Drosophila melanogaster: one gene and its partners. The protein of the gene in region 3 interacts with the protein of the main gene of each other region in a pairwise test. Each region holds a gene or a part of one and is shown on either strand. Other genes may lie near its edges.

What was found.
Region 1: the proteins of CG17777 (region 3) and CG3906 interact in a two-hybrid assay, tested with the Drosophila melanogaster proteins (one large-scale study listed by BioGRID).
Region 2: the proteins of CG17777 (region 3) and CG13227 interact in a two-hybrid assay, tested with the Drosophila melanogaster proteins (one large-scale study listed by BioGRID).
Region 4: the proteins of CG17777 (region 3) and l(3)psg2 interact in a two-hybrid assay, tested with the Drosophila melanogaster proteins (one large-scale study listed by BioGRID).

The regions. Positions count from the first base shown.
Region 1 is NT_033778.4:23,510,628-23,513,895, reverse strand, and holds CG3906 (uncharacterized protein), read left to right. Parts: upstream 1-1,670; 5' UTR 1,671-1,695; coding exon 1,696-2,319; intron 2,320-2,410; coding exon 2,411-2,509; 3' UTR 2,510-2,610; downstream 2,611-3,268.
Region 2 is NT_033778.4:11,233,367-11,236,289, forward strand, and holds CG13227 (uncharacterized protein), read left to right. Parts: upstream 1-1,885; 5' UTR 1,886-1,923; coding exon 1,924-2,286; 3' UTR 2,287-2,389; downstream 2,390-2,923. Other genes in the region: CG13218 (uncharacterized protein), read right to left, coding at 1-338; CG13228 (uncharacterized protein), read left to right, coding at 637-1,044; CG34223 (uncharacterized protein), read left to right, coding at 2,494-2,590, 2,651-2,838; CG13217 (uncharacterized protein), read right to left, coding at 2,901-2,923.
Region 3 is NC_004354.4:2,185,047-2,188,444, forward strand, and holds CG17777 (uncharacterized protein), read left to right. Parts: upstream 1-1,808; 5' UTR 1,809-1,882; coding exon 1,883-1,894; intron 1,895-2,101; coding exon 2,102-2,422; 3' UTR 2,423-2,695; downstream 2,696-3,398. Other genes in the region: CG17776 (uncharacterized protein), read left to right, coding at 1-131; CG3457 (uncharacterized protein), read left to right, coding at 2,851-3,398.
Region 4 is NT_037436.4:5,581,882-5,589,788, forward strand, and holds the start of l(3)psg2 (lethal (3) persistent salivary gland 2), read left to right. Parts: upstream 1-1,787; 5' UTR 1,788-2,125; coding exon 2,126-2,823; intron 2,824-2,877; coding exon 2,878-6,933; intron 6,934-6,999; coding exon 7,000-7,907.

The DNA of each region.
Region 1 (3,268 bases), on a different chromosome or scaffold from region 3:
TGAAAATGGTTGGCCAGATGCGAGCAACTTTGTGGCCATGTCTTGCTGACGTGCGGTTATCGTGTGTCACTCGCCTGCGGAAACGGGCTAAAAAGTGGCTCTGCGGTTTGCTTTGGTTATGACAATTTATTGGCCGCCAGCATTAATTAAACGTTAGTCAAGGTCAGGAAACCGCAATTAAATAACGAGCGGATAGTTGAGGAAAAGCGCTCACATGCAAAGTGAAATGTGTGTGTAGCATGCCATGCCATTTTCCGGGCCAAAAGGGGTCGTTTGTAAGCCATCTGAGCTGAACTTCACCTTTGGCCAAAAGTTTGCACACTGCATGCAGTTTATTTGCTTCATTTGAGCTGCTGACTGCCGAATTGAATTGAATTTTGTACCGGCTGCGCCAACTATTTTATCCACTGAAATAAATCGCCGATTAAGCTTAAGTGGAAGCAAGTTTAACTACAGGAAAATTGGAACTATTTTCTGTTGTAAAACTCGCTGCAATTTGTATTTTTCCCATGTCTCCGAATTCGCAATTGAGTTCGAGCATTGCAAAAAAATTGCAAAAAAAGGCGTAAACATGAAAACAAAGCAAAAAAAAAAGAAAATGTTGAATGGAACTATTTCCGGTCCATTGGTTGGCAAATATTTGCTACATTTGTTTGTCATGAAAGCGGAAGAGATATCTTCGGAGCCCAGAAACTCATGACAATTGCGGCAAGATAAATGTGCCCAGCGAGGCGCATGATTATTAATATTATTACGCAGAATTTTTCCATTTTTTCCTGAATTCGCCAGATTTCATTCAATCCATTGAGTGCCGAAAAGTGCTGGAAACTTTCGTCCGAGCTCGAATGGAATTTGAATCTCCTGCGAGTAGCTCTGCAAACAGAGGGCCATGAATCAAGCAAGTTGAGGAGCGAAGCCCCTGGCCAAACAATCACTGCCCCCCCTCTGGACAGCTGGGTCCTTTTGCTCCTGATGCCCCACCAAACTTGTTTTGCACTCTGGGGTCTGAGCACTTGGTCCTGTGGATAAACGTTGGACTCACTTTGACGAGTCCCCTCGTCCTGTTTTCTCCCATCCTGCCAGAACTACGGAACTAATGAGTGGGTTTGACCATACATACTACATTCACTCCCCCAAAGTCATAATCACATGCACACAGACGAGGAGCATCAGGTGCATAAGTCATAAGGCTTTTTGGTGGGCAGCATGGGAGCAACTCTAATTTGCAATTAATGAAGCGCAGAGCCCAGAGATTATAAGCGAATTTCGGAAATTATAAGCTCTAATGGCAAACAATTAGATGTTGTGCACTAAGAGAACATCAGATAAATAGCACAATTCATATCCTATATATCCTGCTGGTTTATTCACGAAGGAATGAACAACCCACTTTTGTGAATCATTGTTTTCAAGTGTGAAAAGATGTTTAGAACACGATCCGCTCTTATCTTGGCGCTAATGTTGAATAGTGTTTACCATTTTCGCACATATGACACGGCTTGTTTTTGGCCAACTGATAAGCGGAAAGTGGCTCGGACGAATTCCGCTAATTGGCAGGCGATAAGCGATGTGTCCGAGAAAAGGGGAAATGCATGTAATTGACTCTGCCGCCGATGGGAGGGCCATAAAAGCAGGTGATGAACGGCGGGTTCCGGCCACAGTTAACTTGAATCTCGGCCAGCTAAAAAGGAGACGATGGACGCGAAGACGTTGATACTGTTGACCGTGGCCGTGGCCATATTCGCCTGCCACACGATCGCACAGCCACATTACATTGAGGTGTCCGAGGAATCAGAGGAATGGTGTCCACCAGAAAATAACAATACCGATAATAACAATCCGAATAGAACCGATCACGACTCCGCCCTGTGCGCCAACTTCCAGCACATTCGCGCTATGATCAATCAGGAGGCCCTGCTCAATCTGATCGAGGTGCACTACAATTGTGATCTGAAGTTCCGCCGCGCCATGCGGTACTACAACACAGCCGGATTCGAGAGGACCACCCAGCAGCTCACGGATACGGATGCCTACAAGACCGTTCTCAAGGAACTGCAGTCGGAGAGCGTGGATACCGCCGACATTGAGACCGTGGCGGATATCTTCCATTGCATCATACTGCCCGTCCGCCAGCCCGATCGCAACTGCGACTGCAAGGCCGTGAAGCACCACACCTTCGTCGGCGATCTGCTCTCCATCATGCCGAAGCAGGAGGTGCACAACTATGTGGCACAGTCCCAGGCGAATCACACCAACTTCGGCAACTTCACCAAGGCGGTGGTCTCCAAGCAATTCCAGGCCACGCTCAAGGCCAACATTGTGAGTAGACCCACTCGAGTTGAGTACACAAGAGTGTGGCAGTGTATTAACTCCTTTACTTCTCATTCTCACTTCCTCAATTATCCTGCAGAACAAGCGCGACGTGGTGAAGCCACTGCGCACCCTGCGCAAGAACGGCTGGGACATCCCAGAGCTGCTACGCGCCATGCTGACCATCTTCCAGTGGTGAGTGGAGTACTCGTAGCCGGAGTGGAGTATTCAATGTGTCTCCATTGTATGTATGTAAGCCCAATAAAGCAACAAGTGAAAGGAAACTGTTCCGCAGAAGCGAACTCACGGTTGACACCTGTCCTGTTTGTTGGGTGCGGAATGTTGTGTGGCAGTGGGTGGTGCAATTACCACCCGCCGTGCCCGGTAGGACATCAACAAGTTTTCAGTACGGCCTCGTCGCCTTCAGCGGGCTCCACTTGTAATTGGCATCCATGGGTGGTAACTGCAGCGGAAGTGTCGAGGAAGGAAGGATTCGTGTTGGAGATAATCGATCCACGACATTTTACGTGGTTCTTTTCATTTCAAACCATTCCGCCTGCAGCCATTTCCATTTCCATTACCCGGAAAACCTGAAGTTGGCAGCGTATATTGAGGCTGTTATCTACAACTTTCTTGAAGTAACTTTGCATTATTACTTAGGCAGCTCTGGAATATTTGAAATTTGTTCTTTGAGTCGCGGAATTCAAAAGTGCGCCATAGTATATTTTAAATTGTTTGATTTTACATTCAGCCACGGAATTTCTTTGGCACACAACTTACACCTTAAAGCCAATTGTATTACTAGTAGAGGCCTCCCATGGATTGCGAGTGCTTTCCCATTAGGGACAACCCTCCTGCGCCACTTGGCTGTCCCAGCTGGGTATTTGATTTGCCATCAGTCTTCCGTGTTTAAGGCGAACGTATTTCAGGCATCGACGGGAGTGGCTTATCGGATGGT
Region 2 (2,923 bases), on a different chromosome or scaffold from region 3:
CCGAATCCCCTCGCTCGCACGCGATAGCTTTCCTTGTAGCGTCCAAAACCGGCACCACCTCCGATTCCGCCACCAATGAATCCACCTCCACCTGCTAGGCCAAGAGCTTGCGGCTGCTGTTGGATGAGGGGCACCTGTTGCACGACGGGAACCTGTTGGACAACGGGCACTTGTTGCACAACGGGAACCTGCTGGACTCCTCCGATGCCACCAACTCCGCCAATGGCTGCCACTCCTCCAACCGCTCCGATTCCACCTCCTCCCAGGGAATGGGCTTCAGTCCGCCAAGCGCCAATTGCCAGTAATAACAAAAAATGCACTTGAAGATCGCACCTCATCTCGGCTGAGTGTCCAATAACGATGTGAGTTACCTTAACTAAATCACCTGGCTTTTAATGCCCAGGCCGGCGACCTTCAGACCACAAACGATGACGATGATGAGGTGTGAACCACCTTACCAGTGGGCAAAACCATGATTCCCCCAATAGAACCGCCAAAACATAGATGGGGCCTTAGAGTTATGGGTTTTTTACCCGGGCGCCCCAATATGCAAATTGGAAGTGCAAACAGTGGCCACTAATTAATTTGCATAAATAAGCAGCTGGGAGTGGGGCAGACCAAACAGTTAACCCCATCATGTTGTGGCAAACTGTCTACCTGCTCGTCTTGGCGTGCGCCGTGGTCAGCACCACACCGATCCTCTCCAGCGTCGACGAGGAGAACATTAGAAGACCCCGTCACATTGGTGGATTTGGAGGTGGCGGAGTCGTTGGAGGCGGTATCGTGGGCGGCGGCATCATCGGAGGCGGAGGAGTTGCTGCCCCCATAGTGGCAGCCCCCGCTATCCAAACAGTTCCCGTTGTGTCCACTGTGCCCATCATCACCACTGTTCCCGTCATACAGACGATACCCAGCTATGGCTACGGATATGGCGGTGGCTATCCCGTTGGAGGAGGATTGGGCGGACTAGGTGGCATCGGAGGCGGCGGATTCGTTGGCGGCGCTGTGGGTTTTGCCAAATTCAAAGGCGGTTTCTTTGGCTAGACGTTTCCGAATAAATCTGAGCGTTTCTTGAGACCCTCTAGTGTAAACAATGGATAAACAAAAAAGTACTGCAAGATCGAGTTTCATTTTGCCGAGTGTTTGGAATCGACAAAGTCGATGAGCTTGCATATTCCGTAGTTAACTGGCTGTTATTTCTGGAAGAGTCTCTCGCTGCTATTTGCTTCCATATATATATGTACATATGTATGTCGAATATCGCGCGAGGCGAGGCGGATGGGCTTTTTAAGTGGTAAACAACAAGCCATCAAGCGATTACAGTGGGTCAAGTTGGCTGGCCTGAAGAGCGGTATCCAATTGTGGGTTATCGGATTGCTAATTGTAGTCTTTATCGACTTTTGTTGATTTGTCTTGTCATGTCAAGAATGTTCGTCTCAAATGGTATCTGGTTACTTGGTACTTCAAATATGGATCTTAAGAATATATTTTACTCTGATTATTATTATAGTAACCTTGCATCATTCACAGTTAATTATCTACCCATTATGATCTCAATCAGTTGCACATCGAGTTACAATCCAAAGAGATCTAGTTTGCGTTCCACGGTTGCCTCACACTTCCGCATCATAATTCATTTTATATACCCATTAAGATTGGGTCAACCTTATGTATTTGTATAAGCGATTTTTTGGGTTTTTCAAACCGACGATTATTCTCGGCGTCTTTGCCTGACTGCGATTGAAATTAGACGAAAAATGTAAAAAAAGACACTCAATGGCAATCAAGAAATGCCAATGAACTGCCTTTGTTTATGACACCAGGTGCTGGGTGTTCTTGGCAAATGTTTGGCTATAAATTAAAGCCCAGCTGGGCGATGAGTTTTAGTATTTGACGAAGTTGGAGAAGGAATACGACATCGAAATGGATCACAAGTGGATAATATTTTTCTTCAGCATTGCTGCTCTGCTCTTATGCAATTTTGTTAGAGCCGATGAAACGGAAACGGAAGTGGTGCAGGAGAAACCAAGCTCTATTCAGCTGCTGGACGCCGGAGAAACGGCCCAGTCTGATTCCACAGACGAGAACGTTAGGAAAGTGCGCCAGTACTTTGGACCACCACCGTTTGGACCACCGCCACCACCCTTCTTTGGACCACCTCCACCACCGTACTACGGCGGCGGCTTTGGTGGCGGATTCGGCGGTGGTTTCCAGAGAACTCGAGTGGTCACCCGCACCCGTTACCGCGGACGCGGTGGTTACTATGGCGGTGGATTCTACGGCTAATCAGTTTGCATGGATTTGATTGTGCTTGATTGTGATTTGTGATACTTCTTTTGTGCTGCCCCATTGGGTGCAATAAAATTGCTTGCCTTATGCAAGTTCATCCAATCGCTTGTTTTTAAGAGTTTATTAATAACACGTTCGATTTATGGCGGGGAAAGCTGAGATCGGAGGTGTTTATAAGGGGGCCACGAGGCTAAGCTGCAGAAAATGTTCCGCTTGCTGCTGCTGTGGATCACTGTGGGGCTGGTGGCAGCTCTGGATGAGCGGGAATTCGATCCGCAGGTGGCACCACCTCAAAGTTCAGGTAACGTGTGTTATTTTGTTATTTGATTATCCTAAAATTCTAATTTTATTCCTTTTCCAGTTCCAAAACCCTTTCAGCTGTGGCGAAGTTTTGCGAGTCATGTGCGTCTTGTCTTTAGTCGTCTTCAACCTAAGTCACCAACTCCGCCCACCGTTAGGACCAAAACGGGTATAACTACCACCACTCCCGAACCTGAACTGCAGTTCTATGGAGCTCTGAATCCCATATACCAAACAGGGAACTTTTAATGTTACTTAACTAAGCTTTATTACGAAACTCTTAGACTATATTTTGGGTGAGTGCTGTTGCTTTAGCGGAACTTCTTGCCGAATA
Region 3 (3,398 bases):
TGTACGGCACCTACATCCTGGGAATGCGCTACTACCACTACTGCACGGTCATCCGACCGGAGAAGCAGCAGGCGGAGCTGAAGCTCCTGGACGAGGGAGCCCACGACAAGGCCAAGGAACTGAAGTACTAGGCGCGCCCTCCTCCGCCCCTTTAATTGTTAAATGTCTGTTAAGCGCAATAAACTGTAAGGAAATGTAAGCATTTTCAGCTGAAAACGGCCAACGCCGGTTGTTGTTGTGTAACCTCGGACAGCTGGCCAAAGTGGAGGACCGTCGGCAGGCCCGGTGGGATTGTAAGATTCCAGATTCAAGATCTAACCCTGGAACCAAGCCAACAATGCGCAATTAGCCGTCTGGGCCGTAAATCAAACTGGTCGGCTACAATGGGAAATCAATCAATCGACAGCGACATGGACATCGACCCGTTCGGCGGACTAGACTTAGTCAAGAATTATAATTTAGCTGGCAATCAAATATGTTGTCATCTCCGGATCGTGACCAGGTCCCAGTCCATAGACCAAACCCCTTGGCTGCTTGGTCTTCCGCTTGCCCAACGCGTCTCGCGTGCATTCACCTCCAATGGGCAGAGCATAAATATTAAACGATGTGGATACGAAAACAACCGCGGGGAGAAGGAGACAATGGCGGTGCCACCCACTTTTGGCCAGAGATGGCGAGACGTCGTCGATTGGGAAAATCTTTTGCATGCTTCATTCAACAATGTTGCCTCCGGCGTTGCTTCATTCATGACTTGGGAACTCGGAGCAGCAAAAGCAACAGCCGCAGCAGACTGCAATTGCGATTTGCAATTGCCACTGCGGTCAAGGTCGTCCTTTATTGTGTGGGCACGGCACTGGGTACTGGGTAGCAAGTACCCCCGGCAGACGGAAGTGATCGAGAATAATGGAACGCGCAGAACAGAGTCGTCTGCCCAAATGGCTATCAAATTGTTTTAAAACTTTAGTATATTAAGCAAAAGCTGTGCTCCTCTGAATAGAAGATCTCTTCAACCTAGTTTCAAGCCCATTAAAACTAATGACCATTGACCTGGTCACCGATCCTTGTCCCAATATACCCCTTAAGCCAGAGGTCTCCGTCAAAGTCGTGCACTTTGGATATTCTGTCGATAAGACTTTGCATTGGAAATGATCTGGCAGAGATCTCAGCTGTCTGGCAGCTTAATTAAAATGCCAAAACGCTGCCAAACGTGCAATTGTTTGTAATTTGTGTATAATGCTGGCGCGCATATGCGATTCCCACGGGGCCAGTGGCATCCCAGCATTTGGCCAGCTTCTGAACGAGCTTAGGTAATAGTGCGCCTTTTGGGCGCTGCTGGCCATCCGATCTGGCAGTGAAAGTGTTACACGATATGCATACCGTGTACGAGAGGGGCACTTGGTGATTGTGGAACGCGTCGAGTGTCTCGTGTTGCACGTTGCTTGTGGATCGCGTTGCTGCCCCACTTCGGTTACCCAACGAGCCTGGGATCTTAGAATTTCGACTACGCTGGCAATTATAACCGATATCGTTAGTTTCCACGCCCACTCCACCTCACTCCCCCCACTGCAATCCTCCGCCAAGTTCTCCTCCGCCGGATGAGCGGATGGATGACCTTTTGGCTCCGCAGCATAAACAATATTCGGTTTCAAGTCCTCAACCCGTCATGCATTCAATTCAGCTGCAACAATCGCTGCTGCTGCTGCTGCTGCCGCCGTTATTGTCAGTTTGCATAATTGCAACTGTAGCAGCAACTGGCAACAATAAGCCAAGCCGGGTGACTATAAAAGCGTCGGGCCACTGGCAGCCATCAACAAACCTCGCCTGGCGCCCTACCCATCAAGTCAACCAGCCAACAGCCACTAGCAACATCTGCAGCAGCAACATGAAGTTCTTGGTAAGCAGCAACACCAGGACATTAGGATACCAGGATACCAGGACACCGGTCAAGCAAACGAGTGGACTTTTTTTTGAGTGACAGTTTATCCAACAAAATACAAGTTATTTAAAATTGCTGGAAGTGCTCTGGCTACAATTTGAAACAAATCATTTGTTAACATCGTTTCAAATGTTTCATATACCGAACCTTTTTTTCTCTGTGCAGTGCGTGTTCGTCATCCTGGCCATTTGCTTCATGAGCACCTGGGCAGCAGTTTCGGAGCCTGCTCCTGAAGCTCTGGAGCCGGAGCCATCCGCCGTGGATGAGAAGAAGACGGAGAAGAGAGGCATCTACGGGTTCGGCCACGGCTATGGCGGCTACGGCGGATACGGCGGATACGGTGCCTATGGACACGGTCACTACGGCGGCTACGGTGGACTGAGCAGTCCCTACTACGGCGGCTACGGATACGTCCATGCGGCGCCCTACTACGGCGGACACCACGGCTACTATCCGTACCACCATGGCCACTACGGCTTCTACTAGGACCACTACCTATCCCCAAGATCGTAATGCATACTGTTTTTTTTTTCTCGATCGCTCCATGCTCATCACTGCACCATCATTCGTATATGTATATGTACTGGTTTTCCCCCATCATTCACCGCAATATAAATGTACTGCAAATAGCGAATACATTACTCGCATGTCTTTGAATTTGGGTTGGATGTAGTACAAATATGATATATGTACATATGTAAACAAAGTTAAATCCTACTCAACAATAAAGAATCGATTACATTGCATATGTATGACAGTAAAAGTGATTTTCGGTCACTCTATGGGGGCCAGTGAAGGTATAAAGCCGCTATTGGCCCAGTGACTGTTATACAAAAGTCACTGTTCTAATTGCGATCGGCGCGTGACCACCAGTCTTTCGGATCATCAGCAAAAATCAGGAATTCGACTTCGAGATGCTGAAGCGCGATCTGCAGAAAATCACACTCAAGCTGTCCGATCTCAAGGACTATGAGGTTGCCCGCCAAAAGAACAAGTTAAAGGGCGCCCCGCGACCTAGGCTTTCTCAGGACGCCCTCCCCGGAGACGACGCCTCCACTTCGGGAACAACGGCAAGTTGCAGTTCCAACACGGAAACGGCCACGGAAACCGCATCGGGATCCGGATCAGGGTCTGGATCGGGCTCGGGTTCTGGGTCCGGGTCGTACATTACGGGAATGGGCTACCGTTCGGAGACACCCTCCTCCGCATCGTACACCACGTCGACGACCCCGACTCCGGCCACTCAGGAGGAGATACTGAGACCCTCGTCCGCCGTCACGGCCACCACAACCACTGGCACCACTAATTCCGGCTCCACGGATGACGTGAGCGTGGCGGCCGTAGTGGATGACACGGATACCATTGACGAAATCAGCGATGACAACTGGGTGGACCTGAATGCGGACACCAACGATACCGTTGATACCCAGCCGGAGGAGCAGGACCAACTGCAAGAGGTGGA
Region 4 (7,907 bases), on a different chromosome or scaffold from region 3:
ATGGCAGAGGAGGAAGCTATGCAGTCTGTGGGTGTTGGCTACTTAGGAAAGTGATTTAAGAAAGTTTTTGGAAATGGAAAACTGGGTTGCTTTACTCAGAGGAATGCTTAATGCTTAGTTGAAAATGCTATGTGCGTTGGTTTAACATCGAAAACAGCTAGCATTTGTTTCACAACGTATCCTTAAGTTTCTGGACTTGAAGTCTTGTTTCCACATACGCGCAATATGATGTTCCTTATGTTCCGAAGGACAAAGCCACCACCAGCCCAAAGATGCTATGCTCTCCAAGGTTTTCGCACCCAAGTGCCAAATTCGAGATGTCTCGTGGTCGCCAATGTATGGCCCCAGAAAAACCCAAAGTCAAAGCCCTGCTTGAAGAAGTGATGGGATACAATGAGTATTGTACGTATGTTCAACCCAAGCGTTGCTCGGGGACATCCAAGTTGATTTTTCGACGTTCTCAAACAATGGTGGCACTTTTTTGCTTTTTCATTGCGCATCCACTTAGCAGTTGGTGATTTTCAAAATGAGATAACACCTCACATTTTGGGGATCGGCTTTTATATTTGAACCTCAGCTCAGCCGAGCAACGCGACAAAGCTGAGAAGAAAACGATGGAAAATCGTTTGAAACGCAGGAGATTATGCTTGATGATGGGGATAAAAGTGAGGAAGGTTATTGTGGAGCGCCACAAATTAATTTGCACCTTTCGCCTCTGTCGCAGCGCTGCAGCAGCGCTGCAGCAGCGCCGTCGACGTCGGCAGCCGGAGAAAGTTGCACATGCAAATCTAAAAATGAAAGAAAAACTGAGAGCGCTGTCGGCAATTAAAGGCAACTCCGTTGCACTGAGATGAAAATGAAGCATAACTGCAGTGTTAAAGGTTTAGATTAATTACGGACATCCATTTGTTTAAACTCTTGAGGTAAATTGTTGTTATTAATTAAAATGAAATTGAATTAAAATGCATTATACAAAACACTACAATTTTTACGAAAATGATAATTTGTAAATATATATATTATATATATAGAAACATTATCTGATTGGAAAAGTGCAGCAAACTCAAACTCTTTTCATATTTGATGCATCTCAATGTGCCAGAGGGAAACTTTTCCGCCTTTTTCGAATTTCCCTCAATCGGCGGGCAATGGCAATGTCATAATATCAGCGCTTAGGCGCATTTTCTCCGATTCGCTTGACTGTGCGCACATATTGTTCATATATATTTAGTGACTGTGTGTTTAGCGGGCACAACGGTAACCGTATTTGTCATTTATTTGCACTTCGCATTCGAATGAATGCCGCTCGCCAAGAGGAAGCGGAAACAAGTGCAGTCTGCAGCGGTAAAGCGCATTTGGGTGTTTGATTGTGTTTCACACAGTTACGACGACTTTTCGAGCATGTAAAAGACAGTCGTTAAGTAAATAAAAAAAGCTAATGAATTTAAAATCCATTTCAAAATATCGGAGCGTAACGACTTAAATAGTGTGGCAACGCTAACAGAGTGTGCACTCGCTATATGTTAAGGTGGGTGTATTCGCTATTATATCGATAGAACTAGAAGCATTAATAATATCAGTAGTTTTCACACTGGAAAATTTCAGTGCTGTTAAGACGGCGATAGTTAAACAAATATTAATACAAATTGTGCCATGTTGCTGTATAATAAAATGGGGACTTAAAACTATCTTAAAAATGTCTGCAGAGAAATGTCCAAATTTGTATCTTCTTTTTAAGTAAATTTGGTAATAGCGGTCTGGCAGTACTGCCTGCCGATAGATTCAATGTGCCCAGTCTCTGTTCTGCATTGAGTAGTGTTTACTCGCTGCAGAAAAGTTATTGGCTTTGGTTTTTCATAATGGCATAAACATTAAACGGAAACGTACATGATACCGCAAACGCCGAGCTGGTGCACCGCTGCAACCGACGAGGACGTCCGCCCGCGCAGCCCAATCAATATTACCGCTCGGCAGGGGAAAACGCTGCGTGGATACCCAGCAACACCGCGCCGCCATTGAGAGAGCAGAAAAAGAAAAGCGTGTGCGCCCGCAAACAACAAGAAAGAATCATCGAAAAGGGGGACGGAGTGAGGGGCAAACCGATTTGAGGTCGCCGGATGTGAAAATGTCGCAAGCAGCTGGAGGATCTGCCGTCGGAATGGAGCAGCCAGCCACTGGCAAACAGTTGAAGCCCCCGGAGGATCTCCAGGACAATGACACCAACAGTCTGGAACCGGGCGAGGTGGTGACCCCGCCCCATTATCATCCCAGCAGTCCGGCAGTCAAAAAGCACCTGTCCAAAGAGCTGATGATAAGCAAAACATTACGGAAGCTACCAGTTAGCGTTGTGGAACAGGCGCGCAAAGAGAACGGATCTGGCGGGACACCAAATGCCCAAGCCGAGGATGCGGACGATAGCGAAGGCCTCTATTCGGAATCGGACTCCTCGGGGGAGGACCTCAAAAACGTAGAAGATGTGCAGAAGGCGAGGAAGGAAAAGCAGGAGGAGGCTGCAGCTGCTACCCTGCCCCAAGCACCGCCCACGCCGTTCTTGGGCATTAATCCGCTAAGATTCCACATGAGAGCTCCTTGCTTTGAATTTCCACGCATGGGCTTTATGCCCCGAATGAACAGGGGCGGACCAAGGGGCATGCGACCAACATTCTTTGGTCGCCCACCCGCAGCGAATCGCATGGGAGCTCCCATGATGGGTGGGCTACCAACGCAAGGACCTCCGCCGGGAGCGTATGCACCTCAAAATCCACCACCTACAGGTATTAACAGCAATTCAGGTCGTTGCAAGCGACTCCAATCGGATGTGATGTAAGTAAATTCCATATTTATGTAGAAAGTTAGGTTTAATATGATTAATTTTAGTTGGACAGCATTGCAACCGCCAGTGTCCTTTGTCTTTAATCTTGTTTCCGAGTGCTCCAATACAAAGCATGAGAACTGCAGGACTAAAGCGGAAACTACTGACCACAACTCCAAGGAATCAAAACTTCCCAGCGAAACAAAGTCCACTGAACCCTTAATTGAAAACAATCGATCGAGAGAGTTGCCCCAGCACAAAAATTACGTCAGAGGAAAAACAAGTAATCGATCCCATGACAGAACCCAAAATCGAGGAAGAACTAGGGAGAGGTCGAAAGAATCGCACGGAAAGTCCACTGAAAACTCCAAGAACAAGGATGAAGGCAGAGGGAAAGGAAGAGAAAGAGATTTGTTTCGACGGAAAAGTAGAGAAAGATCCCAAGATAAAAATTTAAATAGAGCAAAAAGTATGAATCTATCTAAGGAAAAGGATGAAGTTGGAGGTGAGCCTAGAAATACAGCGAGTGGAAAGTCCCAGGAAAGAGATCAATCCAGAGGTAAAACTAAAGACCGATCTAGGGAGAGAGATCGGACTAGGAATAAAACACGTGAAAAATCACAAGCCAGAGATCAAACCAGAAGTAAGGCAAACGACGCGGAACATACTAGAGCAAAATCAAGGAAAAGGTCCAGTTCAAGGGATAAGCGTCGAGAAAAATCAAAGGAAAAGCTAGGCGATAAGGAAAAGAATGAAGACTTATCCAAGGAAAAGCTTGAAGGAAAATCTACCGAGCATAGCGAAAAAAGAAATGAATCCAAGGTTAAAAATAAGGATACGAATGAAGAAAACGCAAATAAAAAGCTTCGAGAGCGTTCCAAAGATAGAAACCATTCTAAGGAAAGACTGCATGAAAGAACGCAGAATAAGTCTGAAGAAAGAAAGCCTGAAGCAAAGAAAGTAAGAAATGCAATAGAAAATTCAAAGGAAGCGCCAACTGATCGCAAAAAGGACAAACTCTTGGGGCCATTGGGAGAAAAAACAGACGAACGTTCAAAGGACAAGCAAATAAAGCGATCGAGAGAACAATCAGTAACGAAATGCCCAAAGGAAAGCGGCAAGGACACATTAATGGAGCATCCGCCACAAGAAAATGGATTGGATGGCTCCAAGAGATCAAGCATGCCGCATGAATCCTTCAGTGAAAGTGCAAAAACAAGAGAACACGCATCAAGAAGAAAAAATCAGACGCTTTCGCCTTGGGGGAGCAGGGAAGGAACTCCCCCAATGACACCACCACAAGTTCAGATCCCTCAGACTCCAATTGTTGATATCGCAAATCCCAAGGACTTTGATATTTTTGCCGACTCACCTCCACGAGTAAACACTGCCGTTTCAGCTCCAGCTGCAACTATTGAAAGGAGTACAACGCCGCCGTTGAAGTCATCCATTCCTATTGTCCCCATCGCTAAAGCCGACAAACTGGCTCCTCTGCTCAAGGCCAGTGAGATTCACAGTAGGATTGGCGCCCTGCTCGAGGAGAGCGATTTGCATTTGGATAATCTACTAGCTACTAAAGAGCAGTTGTTCCGTCGCACTAATGAATACAAAGAGAGAAAAGAGGCTCCCAAAGAGATTAAAGCTGAATACCTTCCGAATAGCAGGCATAATAGATCTGCGACTGGTAGGGCAGAGGTCGAGCATCACAAAAGCCAACCACGACATATAAATCCTTTCAAGCGCGAATCAGTATTAAGCGGGAGGAAATCCTCCTCTCGCCCTTCAAGCAAGGAGAGACGATTTCAAAGACACGACAGTGAGGTTGAGAATTGGGATAGGGATCTAGAACTCGAAAGAAATCAATTAAATGGCAGTCAGCTAACTGGATTCCAACCAAGAAAGAGTGATGAGTATACAAAATTCAGCATTAAGAAAGAAAAAGATCTTACACCCCCGCCTCTGCAAACGAACTTTACTCGAACCACTATAAAAATCGAACGCAATGCAACGCCTCCCCGGCACATGGAGCACGATGTGCTGGTTAGAAACGGTGCAGTGGCGACCAATGCTCCTCCACCGGCAAAAGAGCAGGAAAGTCCCGATACGGATGACTACATCGACAACTGGGAAAACGACGATTCATTGGCCAGTATGCCCAAGAACGCACCTCCTGTTACTCCTACTCCCGCTCCAAATGCAAACGCATCTCTTAACGCTACACCCTTGCCACCAGTAGCTTCGCAATTTAATGGCGATGATGACGATGATGACTCCAACGCTCTGTGGAATGCAAAAAGCACACCTCCTCCGCGAAGGAAAAATGAGAACCTGCCCGAGGGCAACATCCATGAACTATATGACAAATTCATGAATAGTATTAAGATGTCCAACGAGCATTTGGAGCCAGAAACGCTGGACACCTCAAAGAACAGTTCCTTGAGCAATTCCCCAGCCGAAGAAAGTTCCTCGGGCACTGAGACTTCCTCAACAAGTAGCAGCAGTAGCGAAACCGAGGATGACTCCAGTTCAGATGACGATGCCAATGAAAGCTCTTCGAATGATGAATCGGCCACAACATCCGGTAATTGCAACACAAATCAGGATGAAGCCGCTGGTAAGGAGCAGCTGCAAAAGAAAAACAATGTAAGCAAGGACCTACGGAAATTAAAGAGCCTTGAAGACAATCTGGCTAGGATTCAGATGATGCGTGAGAACTATGATGCGGGCGATGAGATCTCTGAAGAACTGCTAAAAATGGAATCCTTATTTCTAATGCAGCGCAATGCCATCATGGATAAGTATCGCAAACAGGAACTTAAAAGCAATTCCAGTGAGGATCAGCAGCCAGTGGATGAACAGGGAACTGTTCAGGCACAAGAGGTGGTTAAGGAAACATCATTTCCTGTAAACAGCATCTTCAGTGCCAATCGGGAAGCCATCAAACTGACCATCTCGCCATTGAAGTTGACTAGGAAATCTGTCATCTTCGACAAGGATGAAGCAGATCTACCGGAAACATCCAAGGCGGAGCCTCCCAAACAAACTCTGCAAAAGCCACAAAAGGAGATTGCCATTGTGAAACCCACCATTGTCGAATCTCGATCAAAGCCTAAGCTAAGGAGTCCGCCACCATCATCAGGAAGTCGTCGTAGATCCCGGTCCCGTTCTATTTCAAGAAGTAGGGCACGACGTCGCGGCTCGAGGACCAAGTCGCGTACTCCCAGCCCCAGACGCCGACGTCTTCCATCGCCCAGAAGAGTTTCCAGATACGCTAAGCGAATAGGAGGAGGAGCCGTCGGAGGAACTAGGAAAGGCAGGAGTCATAGTAGAAGTTTAACAAGGAGTCGAACGCGCAGTAGGAGTCCAAGTAGACGAAGACGGTTGCCACCAGCAGGGCATAGAAAACGAGGTTCAATATCTCCTATTCCACAAAAATTGGCTGGACCTCGGTCACCACCTCCTTCCCGCCGTCGTCAATCACTAAGTCGTGATCGGGAACGTGAACACTTATCTCGCTCCCGTTCGCCCTTACCCTTCAAACCACCGTCTCCTCCGATGAGACGCAGTTGGTCCAAAGCACGATCACCAACCAGAAGGAGATCGTTTTCCAGGTCGAGATCACGGTCTATATCACCAAGGTCTCGATTATCAGCAGAGGAAGCTTTCGCTAATTATTTTGAGGAAAATCAGGGCATGGAAGCGGCTGCCTACTACTACAATATGTCATTGATGCAGCAGGAGGATCAGAACGCATTGGGTGAGGGCTATGATGCTTATGCCGCATATATGGACTCCGCGTACAACATGGAACAAGCGTATGCACAGTACTCTGAAGAATATTCGAATACGTACATGGATTATATGGTCGAAGTAGCTTCTTCACCTCAGGCACCTGGATCGGTTCTTAGGGAACTACCTATGGCGCCGATGATGCCCGTGGAATCCCTTGCTCCTATAGCGCCATTGGAGGCAATGCCATCGATGGCGGCTACGGCGTCAGGGATGCCAGTGGCCGTACAAAAAGGAAACGTTTTGGAGATAGTACCTTCTGGGGAGGATATACTGGAAGCAGAGGAGAACATAGTGCCAGATGCAACAGATAAACCAGTTGAGGACACGAGGTAAAACAGGGTTTTAAATTTATTTATATATAGTAATATATATAGTAACAATGTAATTATTTTTAGCAAACCAAAGGGAAAAGGCGTTAATTTCGTGGATAAGGTGCTGCCCGCATACGAGAGCGACAACGAAGACCGGGCGGTCGTTGAAATGGCGGTGAAACGTGCCCTGCGGAAATATCACGAAAGTCGCTCCCAAGCCGCCGCCAAGCTGCAACTGATTCGCGATGAGCTACTTCTGTTGCCTCCACCACCACCGCCTCCACTGACAACCAAGCCAGCTAATCTGGAAAAGCCTGTTTTGGTGCAGAAGAAACCGAAGTTCCGATACTTTCATTTTGATCCTTTCAAGTGTGCAATAGTGAAGACGTACACACGCACGCTGCGTTCAGCCTACCGCCCTCCATTCGATCCCAAGCATTTTGCCATGCTAATGAAGACCGGTCGCCTGCCGCAGATTCCTCCAGGATTCCTGCGACACCGCCCACCATTTATACCTGCGCATGTCGATGCTGTCACGAGAGGAGCAATGCTCAAGGAATTCTTTAGCAAACATCCTCCACCGCCCCTAGCGATGCCCATGCCTGTACCCAATGGGATGCCCTATTACCTGAGTGGTCCGCCGCCAACGTCAAGTGGAGCTGCAGTTTCTCCTGTGCCTGTTAATGTCCTGCCACAACCCATACCCGTGTTGGATGGAAGTGGTTATCAGGGTTATCCTCAGTCGGCTACAATGGTACCATTACCTGTTCCAGTTCCTGTTCCAGTGCCGCTACCTGTGCCCTTGCCTGTTTCTACTGACACGACGCCATCTCCCGCGTTGGAAACTCCTTACTTCACACCACCACCTCTGCCCGAGCTGCCGCCTCTACCCGAACTGCCGTCTCAATTCACCGTGAGTTCAGTGCCCACAATAACGGAGATAATGCCAGTGGATATACTACAGAAGTTGGGACCGCTGCCCAAGACCTTGG